4 linked regions of the Oryctolagus cuniculus genome follow. The protein of the gene in region 3 purifies or fractionates together with the protein of the main gene of each other region. This does not show direct contact. Links are inferred from orthologs where the notes say so. Each region holds a gene or a part of one and is shown on either strand. Other genes may lie near its edges.

Region 1 (5,669 bases), on a different chromosome or scaffold from region 3:
ATTTGCTTTTAAGTGAGTCTTGACTTATCCCAAAGAGTTTCCTCTAAGAGTTCTCCAGAAAGGTAAAATTTTCAGCCAACAACTAAATAAGGAAAAGAGGTACAGATTACAGACCGACCCAGAGACATGAGGATGCTCTGTCTTCTAAGACAAAACTTATCCTCCAAACACCAGGAACACAACAGTTCCCTTTTTCTTGCCCAGATGTAGAACATTAGGGTAGATGCAGAGTCAAGGCACAGAGCTCTTAGCCCACCATCTAACACAGCTATTTTCAAAACTCCCAGCACAGTGCAAGTGTAAAAAGCAGTTCTAGGATGAGGAAAGAACAAAGTTGATTAGGCCAACTAAGCAAAATGTTGATTTCTTAGCACAAAAGTACACATGGGAGTGGGTGCATAAGAGGGCTTTCCCCTCCTTGAAAAAAGATACGCAACTCCATCGACTACCCAATATTCCTGGCCAAGGCACTGCTGAGCAGGAAGAAAAGCAAAATGAAAACAAAATAGAGTGTACAAAACGGTACCTACACGTTGGAAATGTCTAGGCAAATCTATAGGTCATATGTCTGTATCTTGGAAGAAGGGGGGGTGGGAACAGAACATACATTGAAATGCAAAGCAAAAAAAACTGACCAGTCTCTATCTCAAAGCTCCAAATGAGTGATGGCAAAAACAAAAAACTAGCCTTTTTGTTATTCCAGGAAGAGACAATAATTTCGCCAAAGCAAGCCTTCAGGAGAAAGTCCCTCAACATCATGAAAGACACCAGTTTCTCTTTAAGTTGCTCTCCCGAAGTCTAATTAACAAAAGAAAACTGTTAACAAGATTCAACATGTAAACAAAGAATGAGGCCAGCCTTGCTTAAAACAGAACACTTGAATCTAACATGAAATTCCCAAAGAAAGCTCCCCATTTTAAAAAGGATTACAGTGATAACCAAAAATGCCCCCTCCCCACAAAGGTCCCACATTTGCCACTCAATTAAAAAAAAACCAAACAGCAAAATAATTTCAATTCTGCAAACAGTGTCAGAATTACTCAAGATAAATGCATCTTCACAGTCATCAAAGAAGTCATTTATCCCATCAGGAAAGTCACAAAACCAAAACAAACAGCAAACCCATTGTAGAGAAGAAACTCAGCTACTGTTCGGACAACACAGAATCTATTTCAGGCTGCATAAAATATAACAAGCAAAATAAATCCAAGGTACAAGCAAAATGCCATGGCCTCCTCTTTTGTTTCAGGCACAATGTAACAAGGGCAGCCTGTCTGGGGCTCTGCTCCTGCTGATACAGTATTGCGGCTTAAACCTCCCTCCTCAAGGTCACAGCCAATTTCAGCTCTGGAATAAAAAAGGCTGATAGTGGCAGCGATGGTTTGGGTTATCACTGGCAGAAAAGCAGAGTGTAAAAGTTTATGAGCTCATCAGGATTGTTGTACCATTACATCAGAGGCAATTATAAATGGCCAAGAGCAGGAGATGGGGAGCCAATCAGATCACAGATAGGATGTCAACCTAAGACCAACTGTCTCCTGGCTTTGACAGAAGGATTTTACCTCCATAATTCAAATCCCAAACCAAAGCAATCTGCACTTACTACTCCAATCACTCAGCTGTTTACCAGCGCTTCCAGGGAGAAGCCCAGGCCACTGGGCCGGCGGAGACCAAGACAGGCGATGGCCGGGCTGCCCGGGGTGAACCGCAGCCGGCCTCTAGCTGCCCCCAAGAAGGCCCCTACCCTCCCGCGAGGTCCCCCGGGCCCGAGGGGCCCCTCCTCGAGAGCACAGACGGGGGACGGCCTAGAGACAAGCAGGGGGCACAGAGAGGAGCGGCAGGCGAGCAGGGGGACGCTCGCTCGCCTTCCGGGGCTCCTACCACCGCTTACACCCCTGATCTGAGCCCCCGGCACCCCCTCACCCCAGGCCGGGCCCTTCCCCGCACACTCTGCCCCGCACCCCCCTGAAGACCCGCGGAGTTCGCAGGGGCCAGGGGAGGGGGAGCCGGGCAGCAGACACCTCTGGAAAAGCCCCACACAAAGGCTGAAGGAGGGAAGGAGAAGAAGGCAGACAGGCAGCCATTTTAAGAGAGAAGAGCCAGACAATGGCAGCTCCCCAGCAGTGGGGGCCCGGGACCGAGCGGAGCCCACGGCTGGGGCCTGCTCCCCGCAGCCGCCACCCACCCCCCCACCGCCCGGCCCAGCTCGCCCCAGCCCCCCTCCCCGCTCAGCTGTGTACCTGAGGGGTCCGGGCGAGCGGCTGCCCCCCGCCGCCGCTGCTCCCGGGGCTCATGGGCGCGTGGTGGCTCCTTTGTTGGGCCCCTCCCGAGGCGGCCGCCGCCGCCGCCGCTGCCGCCGCCGCAGCCCCCCAGCACTGCGAGGCTATGTCCGCCGGGCCCTTGCCGGCGCCCCCGTCCTGGGGCCCGCCGCCGTAGTCGCCCCCGGGGTAGCCCTGGTAGCCCCGGGCCGAGCTGGGCGACGTGAGCAGTTGGTTGAGGGTGGGGGTGGCGGTAGGCTGGGGGGTTCCCCCGCCGGCCGCGGAGGGGCCGCCTCCCCCCATGGCCCCGAAGCGCTGCTGAGCGAAGGACGAAGACGACGAGGAGGCGGAGGCGCTGGAGGAGGGAGGCGGCTTGGAGCCGGCGGCCGCCGCCGCGCCGGAGCCCGGAGTGCCACCTCTCGGGGAGCTCAGCGCGTAGGCCTGGGGGGGCGGGGGGTAGGCGCTGCGGTTGGGGTAGTAGGAGTTGTACTGGTGGTTGGGGAAGCCGTGGTCGTGCGAGTTCTGCTGGGGCCCCGCGTAGGGCTCCAGGCCCCCGCCGCCACCGCCGCTCTGCAGCGCTGCCAGGCCAGGGCTTTGTTGTCCGCCATGTTGTTGGTGGAAGACGGCGGCCGCCGCGGCGGCGACGGCAGACGGGCTCCGGCCGTAGGGCTGCCCGAAGCCGTAGGCTGGGGGCGGCAGGGCGGCCGCGGCTGAGTGAGGAGGCGCCCCCACCCCGTCGCTGCTGCTGCCGCCGCCGCCGCCGCCGCCGCCGGGCGGCTCCGTGAGGTTATTGTTCAGGGCGGGCCTAGGGCCCGCGTTCCCGTTCGAGTTCTTCAGGTCCGGCTCCGCGCCGGGCCCGCCGCCGCTGCCGGCTCCGCCGCCGCCGCCACCCCCATTGCTCTCGGCCCCGTCCTGCAGCTCCTTTCCCAGCGGCTGCGGCGGCCCCACGGCGGGGCCCTCGCTTTCCTGCCCGGCGGCTGCCTTCATTTCCCCGCGCTCGGCTGCTGCTGCTGCCGCTGCCGCCTCGCCCCCCGCCTCCTCCCGCTGCTGCTGCTGCTGCTCGGCTTTCTTCAGCTCCGAGGGCGGCGGCGGCGGCGGCGGCGGCGGGTTGCCCAGGCTGCTGGCGGCGGCGGGGGCGACCTGCGCGGCCATGATCCCCGCTGTCTCGTCCGCGGAGAGACCCGGCCCTGTCTTCGTCGTCTCCCCCCCTCCCACCCCGCCCCGGGGCCGAGTCCCCCGGGCTGCCCTCCCCACCCGCCCGGGCGGGCCTCGCGGGGCTCCGCTGCTGCGCTGCGCTCGCTCGCTCGCTCCTCTCCCCCCCGCCCCGCCGGCTCAGGCTCCGGGCTGGCGGCGGCGGAGGAGGAGGAGGCGGCGGCGGCGGCGGCCGAGGCGCCGGCGGCTCAGCTGCTCCCGGCTCTGCAGGCTCGGGACCCGGCTCTCCCGGCTCATTCCCCCCAAGCCCTTGCCTGGGAATGAGGGGGGCGGTGGAGGCTCCGCTCCCCAGGGCCTGGCCCCGCTGTGACTCTCCGCTTTCTGCTGCCGGAGAAAGGAGGAGGGAGGGAGGGAGGGAGGCGAGGGGGAGGGGGCGGGGAGGGAGGGAGGGAGCGGGGGGAGGGGGACCCGGGACGGGCGGGCTGGAGGGCGCGCGGCAGCAGCCGGGGCGCCGGGAGGCAGAGTCGGCGCGCGCGGGCCGGGCCGGGCGCCCTGCCTCCCCTCCCCGGCCGCGGCTCCGGCCGCGGCTGCTGCGCGGCAGCGGGCGGGCGAGCAAGCGGGCGGCAGGACTGAGCGGCTAGAGCGCCCCACTCTCCTCCGAGTCCCCCTCACTCCGACACGAGGCTCAGCACTGCCATTTTACCCAGCGCCGTCGCGGCCGCCTGGCAAACCCGGAGTGGAGCGCGGAGCGGGTGCCGCCGCGGAATGGACTCGCTCCCTTCCCCTCACAAAGGAGGAGGGGAAGAGAGCGAGCCGCGGCGGCGGCAGGCCCTCGGCCGCTTTCGCTCGGCAGCACCGCCGCCGAAGGCTTCGGGGAAAACCCGGCCCGGAGCTCGCGCCCCTCCGGAGCCTGCGCCGCCTCCCTCCCGGCGTGCCGATCCCCGGCCGGTCCCCTCCCGGCCGCACCGTGGGGAGCGGGCAGCGTGAACTTTACCCGCGCCTGCAAAATTGGCCAGAGCCCGAGACCGCGGCCGCCTCGGCCCAGGCCTGACCCCCCTGGCAGCGAGCCTGGTCTCTTGGCTGTTACTTAGCACCTCCACAGCACTTTTCTTCTTGAAAGCCTTTTTACAAACCGGCCCCAAAGACTCAGCCGAGAGAGCCCTGCTTTCTAACCCCTTTGCAAGGGCCGAGCGATCATTGTTCAGACTCTGCGTTTTCCCACTCCCCTGCCCTCATTAGCTGGTCTTGACAAGTCCCCGGGGGCACGAGGTCGGGATTATCCCCATTTTACAGAATTGAAAGACCGAGAGGGGAGGACACTGCCCAGGTCATTTAACGTCGGAGGGTGGGGGGTGGGGGAGCTTTAAAAAGAAGTGGAGTCTCCAAAGCTGCCTCCTGTCTACTTAGCCTTTAAAGAAAAAAAAGTCAAATTGTGAGCAAATGCAGCAATGGGGTCAAAATATCAGAATAGATCCAAACTCCCAGCTCTGTCATCAAGCACCCGCCCAGAGTGGGGGACACAGGACATTTTTCCAGCTGGAGAACCCAAGCCCCAGGCTCACTTCCTGAGGGAACTCAGCCCACCATGACCAACAGTCTTCAAAGAGTGCCTAAGAAGACTGAACAGCCCACAGAAGAGGCTCCAGGGGCTGGCGGGATGGGAGCTCCAGCTCCAACAAGCCCCTGCAAGAGAGCGGGGCAGAGCAGAGAGAAAAGGCACAGCTATCAGGTCGCTTAGCAAGCCACGCCACCCAGATTTCTGTCCCCCAGTGTAAGTTTGCCACTGCCTTCTAAAGAGACCCAGGTGGAGCTGGGGATAAGGCCAGGTTCCTCGGAAGAGAACACGGTGCACAGGAAAAGTCCAGGGTCACCCTACCCCCGAGGGCCACCAAGCCCTAGCAGCAGCCTTTCCCCCCTCTCTTCAGGCTAGCTGGACTGCTGACAGCACTCGGGTTTGCAAGCCACAGGGGATCCCAACTTCTCACCAGGCCCAAGGCTGCTTCGGGGAAAGGTGCAGGCCGGCATCTCCAGACACCATGGCTTTTCTCTCCCTCAGATTTTATAATTGGAGGCTTCCTGACCACAGAACTATTATCTTAGAACTTCCAGATTCTGCAGGCCGCTGGGGGTCACTGGTCACCCTGAAGAGTTCCAGCAGGCTGACCTCATCATCCCTGCCCCCCAAAACATAAGCTCCTCCCACACTAAAAACCCAAAACCTCCCGACTAACCCAAGAGTAGTGGAGCCCTGAAAAGCCC
Region 2 (5,693 bases), on a different chromosome or scaffold from region 3:
ATCCTCCACTGCACTCCCTGGCCACAGCAGAGAGCCGGCCTGGAAGAGGGGCAACCGGGACAGAATCCGGTGCCCCAACCGGGACTAGAACCCGGTGTGCCGGCGCCACAAGGCGGAGGATTAGCCTAGTGAGCCGCGGCGCCGGCCAGCAATTGTATTTTTAAAAGACAAGTTCTCTGTAAGCTCACAGAACTGCTGTAAGAATAAAATGAAATGTTAAGTATAAGCCTATGCTTAAAATGTGCTATAGACGAATAAGCAATCATCATTATTATTTGAACTTGACCTCACTTGGATATAAAGGTGCAGAGTAATTTGAATTGGTCAACAGTTTGACCTTGAGGCATACAAGACCAGACCAACCAACCACCAGAGCCAATCAGAAATGAAAAGGATTCCTTGGGCCTTGCCTAATTCATATCCTCTTATCCCAAGAGTTTGGCCAAGAGCAAATCTGGCTTAAGAAACAGAAAACGGTCTCTCATTAGTTAATTCCACTGAATATTCAAATTTTCCAGATAAAGAAGCAACAGACAAAAGAGATTCCTAGACAGAAAGTGAAATATTCAGAGTTTTTACCTAAATATTTTCATTGGATGTTTCCACACTAGAAATCAATAGTCTAGGCAACATGGTTAGGACTCAAAACTAGATTGAAATTTTTAAAAGTTGGGGTTGGCGCTGTGGCACAGCAGGATAATGCCCTGGCCTGAAGCGCCGCTGGCATCCCATATGGGTGCCGGTTTGAGACCTGGCAGCTCCACTTCTGATCCAGTTCTCTGCTGTGGCCTGGGAAGGCAGTAGAATATGGCCCAAGTCCTTGGGCCCCTGCACCCGTGTGGGAGATCTGGAAGAAGCTCCTGGCTTCGGATCAGCGCAGCTCCGGCCGTTGTGGCCAACTGGGGAGTGAATCATTAGATGGAAGACCTCTCTCTTCTCTCTCTCTCTGCCTCTCCTCTCTTCTCTGTGTAACTCTGACCTTCAAATAAATAAATCTTTAAAAAAATTTAAGTGATAAATAAAAATTTTAATAAAATTTTAAACTAATTAAATATCAGTGCCATCTACTCCTACAACGTATTTTACAGTACACAGAAACTCATAGGGTGTTTGGCAAAAAGCAAATGTCAAATAACTATCTGTTAATTGAAAATGAATCTTGATGTGAATGGAATGGGAGAGGGAGTGGGAGATGGGAGGGTTGCGGGTGGGAGGGAAATTATGGGGGGTGGGGGGAAGCCATTGTAATCCATAAGCTGTACTTTGGAAATTTATATTTGCTAAATAAAAGTTAAAAAACAACTATCTGTTGAGTGACTGAATGATTGCTTCCCTTATTTCTCACCTCTTCCATACTATTTCAGTGATCTACACAGATGCTGACATGTTTGTTTTCTTTTAGTCTATTGAAAACTGAAAAGCAAATAGTGTTTACAAAGACAACTAAATTCTGCAGACTCCCACTATTTTATTATCTTTTACCTCATGGTGTGGCTCTATTGGGACTGGGAGGGAAGGCAAGCAACTCTTAGACCCAGCCACAGACTGTTCAACTTATTTATGAACAACAATCCCAAGTATAGCCCAGTGTCAATTTAAAAATGAACTAACTTTGAATCCAGAATAAAAGCAGAATTATGAATAAGGATGTAATCCTTCTGCAGGAACAAGAATCTGTCTGCACATCTAATCAATGAATGTTCCCGATCATTTCCATTTCTAGCCCTATCATGCTTACTGACAATTCCGATTATCTTCAACTTCCCCCATGAATGTGCAAGCCAACTTCCTACACTCACTGAAAGTTCTATCAACGAGCCTTCCTGCAGGAAGGGCACAAATCCCTGTCGGTTCTTAATCAGCTAAAAACTGCTGCTGTCTCATAATCCTACCAACAGTAAGCACAGCCTAATGAAAACCCCAAAACGGACTCAGCAAGACAATGAACTTCACCCTTCACTGAAAGTAACCAAATCGCCTTTGAGTCAAATACAACCACATGTTACTGTGTATCATTCAAGATGCAACCATGATGACAAAATGTCTACACGGAGCATTTCAAATCACTCAAGTTTCCGTGTACTCAGTTATACAGTGTAAAACAATTACACCTGACCCACGGATAATATTTCATCAACGTGCTTCGTTCTTTCAAGAAACCCACCTGACAAGTGGAATTTTTTTGTGCACAGACTGGCTGCTGTAGCCTCAAGAGCAGATTTAAAACTAATCGCCTTAACCATTGAGATGGAAAAGGAGAGATATCTATATTCACACACGATGGGTGCTTGCACTAAACCCCTCTTCCTAAAACACCCACACCCATGTTCAGGGCATCATCCAGCACACTTCCTCTGAGGACATTCTGACCAACTCCATCCCTCAGCATCCCAGCAGGAAAGATCCTCTCCCTTGGCAAATTGAATTCACCACCACGGGTACTGTCGGGTCACCAAACAGCCAAAACGTTCCAGACCCCACCTCCTCGCCCAAATTTCTCCTGGTAGCAACGACCACTGACCTGACCTTGCACGCCTCCCGGCGCCCCCGTGCACTACTCCCCAGCGCCTCTTTCTCTTGCTGCGGCCGACCCTGCCTCGGGACGCCCGCACTGCCCACCCCAGCACCCCCGAGCCGGAACGTGTCTGCAAAGCATCGGATCCCGCTGCAGGCGCCACTTCTGCACCAGCATCCCGCGCTCTCCCGCACTGCAGCCCGCCGGCCCCAGGCACAGAACTCCCGAATTCGCCAGCGGGAAGCGGGGTGCTCTTCAAACCCACCAGACGAAGTCGTTGCTTTTGTCCTCGTAGGAGTTGAGGAGCCCGTTGCAGAGAGGGGCGAGCAGGGGTCGCTTCCTGCTGCCGCTGCCGAGGCTGGAGCTGCTGCCTCCTACGCCGGCGCTGGGCCTGGCCGCGCAGCTGAGCCGGGACAGGCCCGCCGACACCGCCCCGCCGCCGCCGCCGCCGCCCGACACGGCGGCCGCCACCAGCACAGGCCGCGCCGGACCCCCGAGGCCGCCCGAGCCCGCGGCCTGCGCGGCCCCGCCGGACCCCAGCGCCGCCGCCGCCGCCGCCGCCGCGGCAGGGGGCGACGGGGAAGAGGCTAAGGACGAGGAGGCGGAAGTCACCGAGGAGGCCGCCGAGGAGCCGGGGCTCGTCCCCGCGGAGCCGGAGCCGGCCTGGCGGCTGCTGGACATCCTGACTGCCGCCCCTGCGGCCGGCGCTGGGGGCCGAGGGAGCGCGACCCTCCGCCGCCTCCCCGCCCCGCCTCAGTGCATCCTGAGGGCGCGCGCCGCGCCGGGAGGTGGGGCGAGGAACAATAAAGTTGGCTTTTTCTTTTCTTTTTTTTTTTTTTTAAAGGCAACCACACACCAGCGCGCGACGGGAGGGGGCGGAGGAAACTCGTCGAGCGGCGTCGAAGCCACTGCCGCCCTCGCGGCCGCCGCCAACCCCGGCGCGTCGTGGCCGGCCGTGCGCGTGCGCGTGCGCGGCGGAAGGGGCGGGCGCGGCGCGCGCTACAACTCCGGGAGCGTCCTCGGCCGGAGACTCCCCGGTCGAAAGCGGCGTTCGTTCTTGACGTAGGCGAGGGCCTTCTTGGATTGGTGGGATGGAGAGGAGTGGGATGAATGGTGAGGGGTGGCGCGGCGGCTTGACGGACGGCCGGAGGGGCGGGGAGAAGCGCTCGGGAAAGCGACTGCGCACGCGCGCCCGCCGGAGGCGCCGACGCTCGCGGGGCACCCCGGGTGCCCGACCCCGGCGCGGCCGCGCGGAGGCCGCATCGCGCATGCGTGCGTGCGTGCGGGCGGGCGCACCGCCTTCCGGAAGGCGCGGTGGGAGTGGTGGCTGTCTCCTCAGAGGCGGGCGGTGTGGCTCGGTGGCGAGGGCGCAGGTGTCTGGGGGCGCACGGAAGGAGCCGAGAAGCGTGGAGCAGCTGTAGAGGTCGCCGGGCTGGCTCTGCTGAGGTGAATCGCTTTTCCCCAGCGTCGCCGGTGACAGCTGGTGAATGGCAAACGTCATGGCAGGCGTTCCCGGTTTCGCTCCCGTATTTTGAAGAGTTTACTAAATTTAACACGGCAACAATGGGAAACCGCGTGGTGCTTAACCAGAAGACAGCTGTGTCAGAATCCCGGCTTAACATTGGCCTGTTGCAGTTGTAGCACGAAACGAGGAAACCTGGCCCGTGGCCCCGTTAGAAATGTGCACTTTGGAGTAGGCTTTTTTTTTTTTTTTTTTTGAGTATTGGAAACGGCGGACTCTCTTACTTGCCGCCCTTGAGAATCCCTAACATTCTGGAAGATGCCAGATTTGCTCTGTCCTGGTGCTGACAAAGTCTGTTGGCACCGAGGGGCTTTCTCTGGGAATAACTGGCCATGCTGGCGGGCAGGGCCGAGGAAAGGCTTAGAGAGCCCCAGCAGCGCCGACCGGGACTTTGCCCTGGGCAGTAGCCATCGCCAGGCACCTGCCATCCTAGTCCCAGCTTCGTGGGCTGAGCTCAGGGTTTTGCTCAGATGATGTAGGAACGAGCTTTCCAGGTTTCTGAAAACAGCTCTTGCAAGAAAGTCTTGCATCATCCGAATTGTTGTTTAAAGTTCTCCTTCAAGACCCAGTGGAAGCGTGAAGTGGCAGAGATCTTTGCACCCTCCTTTGTGCAACCAGGATATTCCGTTTGCCCTTGTAACGTTGCATTTTAGTGCTTTACATGCGACCTCCATCAGCCGTGTCAGCTTTCAGCTTATATTGTGCTCGTGCCTGACCTGTGATAGGTCTGCATTAAACATTTCTGTGTTACCATGAATAACCCTATTGATCATCTCATTTTTATTTAACATCTGTATTTCCAGCTAAATTATTAGCCTATGAAAGCAAGTACCATATGGGGCATTCAGTAATTATTTGATGAGGGAATGCATAAGTAAATTGATGGTGAAGATTTATTAAATGCTCACTATGCGTTAAGCCTGGATTGCTAGAAAGAAAAAGTTTATAAAAACATTGTTTCTGCATTTAAGAAACCAATGGAATAATTGAAGAATTAGGAATAAAGGTAATAATATCAAGGAGCACATGCTAAATGCTTAGCAGGTGAAGTAGAGAGTCACCATAGGAGTTTGGAGCAAGAGCATATATAAAGGGCCAGCCCTTTTGCTGGAGGCCTTAAGAGAAAAATATGGCTTGGTTAATCAAAAAGTATAAAGTTATCATTCTAGAGACAAGCTTTCAGCAAATTCAGATTTCTGATAGAGAAAGAACAATTCTCTAGGAGAAATTTCTCTGGAGACTATATCATCAAGACCTCAAATTTAGTCTGAAAAATAGCCAATAAACAATTGAGAACAAGAAAGCATTAACCAGAATTTTTAAAAAATGTGACAAGTATGTAAGATGTTAATGATAGGGGAAGCTGGGGCCTGTTGTGCCAGCATTCCATATGGGCACTGGTTCGAGTCCCCGCTGCTCCACGTCTGATCCGGCTTTCTGCTATGGCCTGGGAAAGCAGTAGAAGATGGCCCAAGTCCTTGGGCCCCTGCACCCACATGGGAAACCCAGAAGAAGCTCCTGGCTCATGGCTTCAGATCAGCACCACTCCGGCTGTCACAGCCAACTAGGAAGTGAACCAGCGAGTTGAAGACCTCTCTCTCCTCTCTCCTCTCTCTCTCTCCCCTTCTGCCTCTCCTTCTCTGTGTAACTGTGACT
Region 3 (4,013 bases):
ATCACTTCCCCCCTATACCCAGGTCTCAAAGGGCCATTGTGCTGTGAAGAAAATGAAAACAAAACCAGCCGACCTGGTTCTGATTTGGCTCAATACCCCATCTGCTAAGCTACAGGAAAAATTCTAGAATCAACTCCTTTCTGGCAACAAGTGGCATAAATCAGGTTAAAGTCTGAGTCCCCACAGTGCTTCTGCAAGCTGCTAGCAAGGGAGCGAGTGGGTTTGACGCTATATGCCTCTAGTTCCTACTTCGGAAATGACACAAGCAGTTCAGATTCAGAGTACTTACTGCTCATCCAGCCAGTTCTTTTCCCAGTTAACATTAGCGCGCTGCTGGACTAGTCAGCCATACCAAGGTTTTTAGGTATTTATTTTACTTTCAAGGTTGAGCACAGTATTGTAAATAATTTCCCCAAGTTAATGTATCCACCAGTGTTATCCAAGTAAATGAAAGACTCAAGCATAATTTCAGTGTCCATATTTCAAAAATTTATTTATCTCAAACTGTGCATAATGGAGTAAAAACTTAAGTTGAAAATGTACCTGTTATAAGGATGGTATTAGTTCAAATATATACATGGATTTTCGGCAGACTGATTCAAATAATACAGAGCCGAATCTTTTAAAATACAACTACGGAAAATAAACGGGGGGAGGGGAGAGGGAGGGAAACCTTAAAATATCACAATAAATTTACAGAAATATTACAAACCATAAGAAAATATTTCAAACACAGTAATATCATGTCATTTTTTTATCTGAACAAAATGGAAAGTTGGGATTGAACAAAAGCTATTATAAATTACCCACGATGTCGACCTGCATGGCCATTTTTGCTTTTAACAGTAAGTTAAAAAAAAATTTAGTACAATGTAAAACTCTTGCCCCCCCCCCTTTTTGAAACAAGACCACGGAGATAGTTTTGCCAGTACTTATTCTAATTTTTTTCCTTTTGTACAATTTTTAAACAATTAAAATGTCCAAATCTTATTAATTTTCTTCTTTCCACGTTTGCAACTGTCCTAATCTCAGCTGCAGAAACAAAATTCAGCAAGAAGCCGCTCCTTGAAAATTATTGGCAAATTCTCAGCTTATAAACAATGGACATTTTGATTGCCATGTTTATCTCGATAAATACTGTACAAAAGTTGCTTGCAAATATTAAAACTTTTTTTTTCGTCGCTTGGAGACTAGCTCTAAATATTATTGGTAAAGACTTTTGCAAACTTCCTGCAAAGCTCCTACCGTACCACTAGAACTTTTAAAAAGTTTTTTTGTAGCTTTCTTTTCCTCCAGATCTATACAAGGTCCCTTCCCCCGCCCTCCCCACCCCTCCTCCCCCCTCCCACGGTTTTCTCTGTACAAAAATAGTCCCCCAAAAAGAAGTCCAGGATCTCTCATAAAAGTTTTCTCGTCGGCATCGCGGATTTGGCGTGAGTGTGGATGGGATTGGTGGTCTCTCCCCTGCAGCTGTCATTTGCTGTGGGTGATAAAAGATTTTTCTTTTCTTTTCTTTTTTCCTTTCTGTCCTTCTTCTTTTCTTTTTTAGCGTACCGGGTATTTTTCGCCATGCTGTTCTCACTCTCCTTGTGCACCTCTCCCCATTTCCCTTGTCTCTGCGACACCCACTTCCCCCCTCCTGCAGTCCGCCGTCCGGCCCCCCTCACATGTGCGAGAGGGGCAGTGTGCCGTTAATGGCCGTGCCAGGCACCGGGCCGCTCTGGTAGTGCTGGGACATGTGGAGTCTGCTGGGGGCGGCGGGCTCGGGCACTTCGGCGCCGGGGAGGTACATGCTGATCATGTCCCGGAGGTCCCCGGCCTGGCAGGGCGCCCTGGAGTGGGAGGAAGAGGTAACCACGGGGGGGCTGGAGCTGGCCTCGGACTTGACCACCGAGCCCATGGAGCCGAGCGCCATGCCGGGGGTGCCCTGCTGCGAGTAGGACATGCTGTAGGTGGGAGAGCCGTTCATGTAGGTCTGCGAGCTGCTCATGGAGTTGTACTGCAGCGCGCTCACGTCGTAGCGGTGCATGGGCTGCATCTGCGCGGCGCCGTGCGCGTTGAGGCCCGGGTGCTGCGGGTAGCCCAGCTGGTCCTGCATCATGCTGTAGCTGCCGTTGCTCCAGCCGTTCATGTGCGCGTAGCTGTCCATGCGCTGGTTCACGCCCGCGCCCAGGCCGGCGCCCACCCCGACCCCGCTCGCCATGCTGTTGCCGCCGGGGGCCAGCAGCCCGCCGGGCAGCGTGTACTTATCCTTCTTCATGAGCGTCTTGGTTTTCCGCCGGGGCCGGTATTTATAATCCGGGTGCTCCTTCATGTGCAGCGCTCGCAGCCGCTTGGCCTCGTCGATGAACGGCCGCTTCTCCGTCTCCGACAAAAGTTTCCACTCGGCGCCCAGACGCTTGCTGATCTCCGAGTTGTGCATCTTGGGGTTCTCCTGGGCCATCTTGCGCCGCTGCCCGCGGGACCACACCATGAAGGCGTTCATGGGCCGCTTGACGCGGTCCGGGCTGTTCTTCTGGTTGCCGCCCGCCGCCGCCGCCGCGCCGTTGCCGCCGCCGCCACCGCCACCGCCGCCGCCGCCGCCGCCGCCGCCCCCCGAAGTCTGCTGCGGGCCCGGCGGCTTCAGCTCGGTCTCCATCATGTTGTACATGCGGGCGCTGTGCGCGGGCCCGGCCCGCCGGCGGCCGCCGACCCTCGGCGCGGCTGGGACTCGGGGGCCCGCGGGCGGGGGCGAGAGGAGGAGGGGAGGCGGGCGGGGGTGCCGCGAGCGCGGAGACCGGACGGAGAGCAATTCGGGGGAAGAGAAGGGAGAGAGAGGGAGAGAGGGAGAGGGAGAGAGGGAGAGAGGGAGGCGAACTGGAATCGGGATCAAAAAAGCAGCGCTTCCCTCCGCCTCCGGCCGATGCCGCCGCCGCCGCCGCCGATTGTTATTATTATTATTATTATTTTTTGGAAAGGCTTAAGTCTGGGGCTCAAACTTCTCTGCCTTTTCTTTTCGCTCTCCTCTTCTTTCTCTCGGTCCCGGTCTTAAAGAGGCAGCAAACTACTTTCCCCCTTTTGCAAACACTCTCTTCTCTGCCTTGACAACTCCTGATACTTTTTTGAACAAGTTAATAGACAACCGTCCATGTGACGGGGGCTGTCAGGGAATAAATGGGTTTCTCGCGACCAATCAGCGCGCGGCGGCTCCTCCACTCGGGCCCGGCCTCGCCGCCGGCTTTTGCATGAAAGGGGGCGGGGCCTGCGGCGCCGGCGGCCGCGCGGGGGAGCGGGCGGGCGCGGGGGCGGGCGCGGCGCGCGCGCGCGCGGCGGGCGGGGGACGCGGCTCCCCGCGCTGGGCCGCCGGCCGCCGCGGAACCTTTGTATGCCCGCTCGCAGCAACAGGTCACGCCACACGCCGGTTCGAAGCCAGTGGGGGAAAAGGCGCGGAGACGGCGTGGGGGGTGCACACCGGCCACCCCCCCACACCCCGACACCCGCTTCCTTCTTCTTTTAAACTGATTGACTTTTAGGTGCGGGCGCAGGAACGTGGAGGGGGCGCGGCCCTGTCCCCCTACCCCCCAGCCCTCCCCCTCCCCGCCGCGGCTGCCACTTCTCCCCCCACCCCCCGGCCTCTCTGGCCTGCACAGGTGCCAGCACCCACCCCTCTGGAAGGTCCCAGCTGGAAGTTAGGAGACCTCCCCTCCCGGAAGCCCCGGCCCTCGAACCCTCAAACCAGCCCTGTTCTTGAGCTCCAGCCGCGCGGAGCGGAGGCCAGGCAGCCCCCGGCTCCCAGCGCAGGCCGCTCGGTGCCAAGGAGATGCGCCCCAGCACCCCCCCAAGGGCGGATTTCACTGGTGCCAGCTTCCCCCGGCGGGGCGCGGAGGGCGGGCGCGCGCGAGGGTGGCGGCCACTTCCTGGCCTCCCCCGGCCCTGCTCGGAGGTGGCCTCCGGGCCACGCTCGCGGACTCCCGCCCACGCGGAGTTCCCAGGGCTCGGGGCCCGGGCCGCGCTGGCATCTCCCCCGCCGGCTG
Region 4 (5,726 bases), on a different chromosome or scaffold from region 3:
CAACTCAGTGAATGACTGAGGGCCACACCCTGGGCTCTCTGACCTCTCCTCTTCTGGCTGCCACAGCCATCCCCTGGTGCATTCATCAACTTCATTCATGCATCCTCATTACCATTAACTAGTCTGAAGACACAAATTAAAAAACAAAAATATGATGCGCGTTGTTATGTTTCACATATTTACAAAGTCTGAGGAGCCAGCACTGTGGCATAGCGGGTAAAGCCATCTGCAATGCCAGCATCTCACACAGAGCACTGGCTGCTCCACTTCTGAACCAGTTCCCTGCTAATGGCCTAGAAAAAGCATCAGAGGATGGCCAAGCCTTTCGGCCCCTGCTACCCGCCTGGGAGACCTAGATGAAGCTTGTGGCTCCTGGCTTCTGCCTGGCTCAGCCCTTGCTGTTGAGATCATCTGGGGAATGAATCAACCGATGAAAGCTCTCTCCCCCTGCAACTCTTTCACATAAATAAATATTAAAAAAAAAAAACACACATTTTAACATACAGGACTACTATTAAAGTGAAGAAAATGGGGTTGGGTATTGGAAGAAAACTCATTTAGGGAAGAAGATATTGATGATTAAGGCCCTAAAATCTTTCCTGAACAATTTATCTGCAGTACCACATTGCTTGCTTTTACTGCTTTTAGCGCAAAGAACTTTTCACTCGAAACTATCATTTATCATTTCGTTTGTGACGCTCACATTTCTCATATTAAAATGACGGAATATGGCCGGCACTGTGGCACAACAGGCCCCATGTGAGCCCCAGCTGCCCAACTTCCTACCCAGCTCCCTGTTCATGCCCCTGGGAAAGCAGCAGCACATGCTTCAAGTGGTTGGGCCCCTGCATCCTCGTGGGCACCCAGAAGAAGCTCCTGGCTTCAGCCTGGCCCCGCCCCGGCTGTTGGGGTCATTTGGGGAGTGAACCGGCGGATGGAGATCTCCCTGTCTGTTGTTCTTTCTGCAACTCGGCTTTTCAAATAAATAAATGTTTTCAAATAAATTAATAAAATTAGAGTCGCACATTCTTTTCTAGTATCAAAACTCACTAAAACATGGCAAATTTTTTTTCTGAAGATGAACATATTCTGGACTGCTGCCTCTGGTCTAAAAACAAATCTCATGCACTATGTGTGGCTTATTATTTTAAACCAGAAATGCCAAGAGGACCTTTCCTTTTGAAGGGGAGGCACAGAACAGCTCTCTCGCTGAAAGTCGGGGTGCGTAACTGTCCTCAATGCAGGCCACTGGCAGCTACCAGATACAACTCTACATCCCCAAAAGTACCTATCTGTTCAGGGATCTACCACCTTGTTGTACGCGTTACAGTCTAACTCAAATCCACTTGTCTTCTCCTTTAGCTCACTGGAAAAAAAAAAAAAAAAACTCAAGATGTTCATTCTTAATATTGTATTCTGATTCTGTAAGAATAAAAAGTAAAGCTAACTATTTCTTATTTCTTTATACTAGAAGAAAAGTAGCTTCAAAAGGATTCATTACTTGTTAATTCATTAATTGTTAATATGTGATGCCAAAGAAATGTGCAAAAACAAATCAAAGGGCCCCATACACTGCAAAATAGATTCTGATTTGCGCAGTCAATTGAGTAAGTTAGGACTCTTGGTAAACAAAGTTAGGACTAACGCAGAAAACATGCCCTACTTCTCTCCTGCTCTCGGTGCAATTTTCTATGTTAGAAGGCAGGTTACGGGACAAGCTGGAACAACTGGGTCTATGAATGACGGCAGAGCTACCCTTCACTACTGGCCTGGTTCTAAAATGTACAGAAAGTCCCCGAGTCTGCAAAAGATCTGTAATGGAAGAATCACAGCAAAATGTTAAATAATTGATAGAGGCTGTTCCAGTGTTGAGAAGGAAGTACATGCAAACTCCCAGTGGTTAAATTTTCAGAAAGTTTCACAAACACACGACACACAATATGGCTACGGCGAAGAGTGGACGAGCCCGAGTCCAGTGCCACAAACTAATAGGACCGCTGGAGACTGAGAGGCTTCGTGCCCCACCTGGGGTGACTGGGCACCCGGAGGCCGAGGGCAACATCTCAACCAGCGAGCTGGGCCTCTCCCTCCCTCCGGGAAGCACATGACAAGCCGGGCGACAGGCACCGTAAGTCACCCGGTCACTTAGCAAAAACGGAGTCTAACTTCTATCGCGGGGCCAGCCGGCCTACCGAGGGAGCCGGAGATCCTGCACACTTCTGGGCCCTCGCGAGGCCTGAACCCCGGACTCTAAGGCACGCTTTAATGGAAGCCTCCCTCGGCCTCCCCGGAGCGTCTTCCTGCCACAGCGAGGGAACTTTTCCTGCTTCATCTCGGCTCGCGCGGCGCGTGTGGCCCTGCAATTCAATATCCTAAACCGGCCAGCAGCGCCGGAGGACGCAGGAGAGGAGTCTAAACCCAAACAGCCTCTTTATGAAAGACAGAAAATCACTCCTCCTCCGCCCGGAGCAAACCCAGCCCAGAAATTCCCAGCGCTGCGAACTGCGAACCTCAGAGTTTCCCTGCGACCCGCCACGCACGGTTTTCAGCTGTCAGATTACAACTCGGGGAAAAGCAAACAACAAAGCGCGCACCCCGGGGGCTGGGGGCCGGAGCTGCCAGCACCATTTCAAAGGCACGGGAATCCAAGCCACTTCCCACCCCCGCCCCCACGCAGCCCCTCCCGGGGCGGGCGAACCTCGCTGCAGGGGCTCAGATTTAATAATAATAACAATAATCATGGCGCTTCCGCCCGTCGCCGCCCGCGATCCGCCGGGAACCCGCGGCTCCCCGGGGTCCGCACCGCCCCGGCCGGCCTACCCGGGGGCCCCCGGCCCCGCGTCTCCTCTTCCCTCTCTTTTCACCTCCACCATCCCCCATCCGCATTGTCTGTCTCAATTCAACTTTGACTAATATGGATTCCTCGGGGCCCGGGCCCCAGCGGCAATTCCAGCCCAGCCCCCCGGCCCCGGAGGAGTGGGGGTGAGGAACCGGCGCCCCCCGGCCCCGCCGAGCTCCACGCGCTCCTCGCGGGGAGGGGGAGGGGGCTTGCGGCGCGCTCCGCCGTCCACGCCGCGCGCGCCCCCAGCCCCCCGGGTCGAGAAGTTGACGGCGGAAGGGTCCTGGCGGAGGGGAGGGGGCAGCGAGGACCCCCCCGACACACACACACACACACACCCCCAGGAGGCCGGCGCGTAAACAGGGGCGCCGCCGGCTCGGCCCGTGGGGGAGGGGCGCGGGAGGAGGCGCCCCTCCCCCGCCCGTGGCCCGCCGTCCCTATTACCTGTCATTGAGCTGGTCCTCGGTGCCCGGCAGCGGGTGAACCACGAAATGGATGGACGTCATGGCGCTTCCTTCTCGTCCTCTTCCCGAGGACGGCCCCCTCCTGCTCTCGCCCGCCCCCCCCGGACCCCCTTCCCCTCCCCAAAACCCACAGCCGCCGCCGCCGCTGCCGCCTCCCAGTCCCCAAATGGAGGGAAGCCGAGGCGCAGGGGCCGCCGCCGCCGCCGCCGCCTCCCTGCCGGGCGTGTGTCCGCGGCCCGGCAGCCCGGCGGGGCGGACCGAGGCGCCACCCGCTCCCCCGGCGACAGCGCCAGGGAGTGCGAGGCCGGCGGCCGGGACCCCGGGGCGCGCCGCCGCCAGCGGCAGCCGGGCGTCGGGGGAAGGGGCGGCTGGGGCGGGCGGAGAGGGGCAGGCTGCGGGGACGCTGTGGTACCGGGCGGCGGACGGGGTCCGGATTAGGGGAGGTGGGGAGGGACAGAAGCCCGCACCGCGCGTCACAGGCGAGAAGCCGTCGCCGCCGCCGCCGCCATCTTCACTTCTGCCCCAGTTTCTCCGTCTCGCAGGCTCCGCTCCCGAGCGGCGGGGGAGGGGTGGCCGTGGGGGGGGGAGGCGGAGGGAGGAGACCGGCGGGCGGGGGCACGGCTGCGAGGGGCGGGGCTCCGGGAAACGGGCGCTAAGGCCCTTTCGATTGGGCGACTCAACGTCGTGGGGCCACGGCGCTGTAAGGCGCGTGCCGATTGGTCCGTTCGGCCCCCGAGCCCAGCCCCGGGCGGGGGGGTGGGATGGCTCGGGGAAGCGAGTGTTCCGGCGAGCACGTGTTAGGGAAGGCGGCGAGCCCGCCGGGGCGGGGCGTGAGGGGAAGCGGGTGTCCCCGAGGAGGAGGGGGAAGGAGGCAGAGGCGGGGGTGCTGCTCCTGGTGTCCCCCGGGGCCAGCCCTCACTGTGTCAGCGACCTTAGGGGGTTTCTGTTGTCATTGCTCCTCCCGCTCCCGCGGCTGTATTTAAAGTGGAAGTGCGGACTGAGTCGAGGGGCGAGGGAGACCCAGCCTTTCGGTGGAGAGGTAAGGTCGTTAGCTAAGGGCCTCTCCCAAGGGGATAGAGAGTAGATCGCGGAGCCCACTTGCAGCGACTCCCTTGATCGGCCTGGTCTCCCCCCTTCCCCCACCGCCATCACCCGTGCACGATGTGGAAATTTCCACTGGTTGCCTGAGTTACGTGATTCATGATTCTTTGTATTCCTTGTAAATGGGAGATGATACTCTTGTATACCTTATTGTACCCTGGAGTTCTGCAACTCTTGGTGGCAGATTCTCAAATGCATCTATGGGGTTTTCCAGGAAACCAAGTTCGTGGCTTTCTTCTCAAAGGTTTCTACGACTTCAGAAAATCAAGTAACCTCTTTCAGAGGGAAGCCCAGGAACATAAAGCCTCTTCTCCGGTGCGAGTGGATGTTGGCAACCGCAGGGGTTGTGTAAAAAGTTCTTGTGGAAGGGTGAATGTCGCTTTTCCTGTATTAATGCCTTGCACCTGCACTTTTTGCTTAAGGTCTTTTGATCAAAAATACATGAAGATGTATTTATAAATCAGGATAAACTAGGTACCCCTGAGACGGATAATAGGACACTTTTGTAGGTCACCAGCTGCAAGGTTGGCCCAGATTAGTTTAGACTGAAACGAGATTTCAAGGCCACCACTTATTAGTAATGAAGTCCGTGCAAATCCTGGGGAAGCAAGACCAATGGGCATTGATAGTTTTCCAGCCAGAAAGACCTGGATTTGAGTCTTCTTTTCTGCTGCTTAAAGATGTGGTCCTGGTTAGATTATTTAAGCTATCATAGCTACTTTTTTCTCCTTTGATAAATGTCCCACAGTAACAGATCTATACAAGGTCAGGGTGAGGTCTAAGTAAGGTAATGAATGTCAGGCACATTGTAGTTACAGCAAATGGAAGCTTCTATTTGTCAAGTGCTCACTGTGCGCGACTTGATACACCTATGTCTTTTAATACTTAAGTCCTACTATAAGGTAAATACTATGATCTCCGCTGTATAGATAGCCCTGGGTCTCACACACTTTACCTAAGTGCTGCTGAGACTTAAAGCCATGTCTTCTGACTCTTAATTCCATCGCTCTTTCCACTATACCACAGTTGCCATCTAGAAGTTAATAATTTAGAAGGAACAGACTATTCAAAGCTAACAGGAAAAAAAAAAGATAAATGCAATAAGAGTGAAATGGAAGTAAAAGGAAGTAATTCCAGCCAAGAGAATAAAGAAAAGTCATGTAAGCTGAGCTTTTAAGAATGTTCTGAGCAAGCAAAATATCTGGTTTAAACCTAGTGTTTTTGAGTTGCTCCCTCAACAGACTACAGCATGCCCGTGCCTTGGCTCATTTTCCTTCCTTCCAGATCTGGGCGTCTCTTTAAAAAGACGTCCACCCTACTTC

What was found. The genes of interacting proteins can lie anywhere in the genome.
Region 1: the proteins of SOX2 (region 3) and ARID1A purify together in Homo sapiens (affinity purification with mass spectrometry; 3 studies listed by BioGRID and IntAct, with this or other methods). This does not show direct contact. The link is inferred for Oryctolagus cuniculus from reciprocal best matches to the Homo sapiens genes SOX2 and ARID1A.
Region 2: the proteins of SOX2 (region 3) and COP1 purify together in Homo sapiens (affinity purification with western blotting; 3 studies listed by BioGRID). This does not show direct contact. The link is inferred for Oryctolagus cuniculus from reciprocal best matches to the Homo sapiens genes SOX2 and COP1.
Region 4: the proteins of SOX2 (region 3) and UBR5 purify together in Homo sapiens (affinity purification with western blotting; 3 studies listed by BioGRID and IntAct, with this or other methods). This does not show direct contact. The link is inferred for Oryctolagus cuniculus from reciprocal best matches to the Homo sapiens genes SOX2 and UBR5.

What each region holds. Positions count from the first base shown.
Region 1 is NC_091438.1:144,806,274-144,811,942, forward strand, and holds the start of ARID1A (AT-rich interactive domain-containing protein 1A), read right to left. Parts: upstream 3,473-5,669; 5' UTR 3,411-3,472; coding exon 2,241-3,410; intron 1-2,240. UniProt on the Homo sapiens protein: Involved in transcriptional activation and repression of select genes by chromatin remodeling (alteration of DNA-nucleosome topology).
Region 2 is NC_091438.1:4,386,062-4,391,754, forward strand, and holds the start of COP1 (E3 ubiquitin-protein ligase COP1), read right to left. Parts: upstream 3,473-5,693; 5' UTR 3,197-3,472; coding exon 2,781-3,196; intron 1-2,780. UniProt on the Homo sapiens protein: E3 ubiquitin-protein ligase that mediates ubiquitination and subsequent proteasomal degradation of target proteins.
Region 3 is NC_091435.1:97,880,474-97,884,486, forward strand, and holds SOX2 (transcription factor SOX-2), read right to left. Parts: upstream 2,801-4,013; 5' UTR 2,651-2,800; coding exon 1,664-2,650; 3' UTR 467-1,663; downstream 1-466. UniProt on the Homo sapiens protein: Transcription factor that forms a trimeric complex with OCT4 on DNA and controls the expression of a number of genes involved in embryonic development such as YES1, FGF4, UTF1 and ZFP206. Binds to the proximal enhancer region of NANOG.
Region 4 is NC_091437.1:127,732,701-127,738,426, forward strand, and holds the start of UBR5 (E3 ubiquitin-protein ligase UBR5), read right to left. Parts: upstream 3,473-5,726; 5' UTR 3,346-3,472; coding exon 3,284-3,345; intron 1-3,283. UniProt on the Homo sapiens protein: E3 ubiquitin-protein ligase involved in different protein quality control pathways in the cytoplasm and nucleus. Mainly acts as a ubiquitin chain elongator that extends pre-ubiquitinated substrates.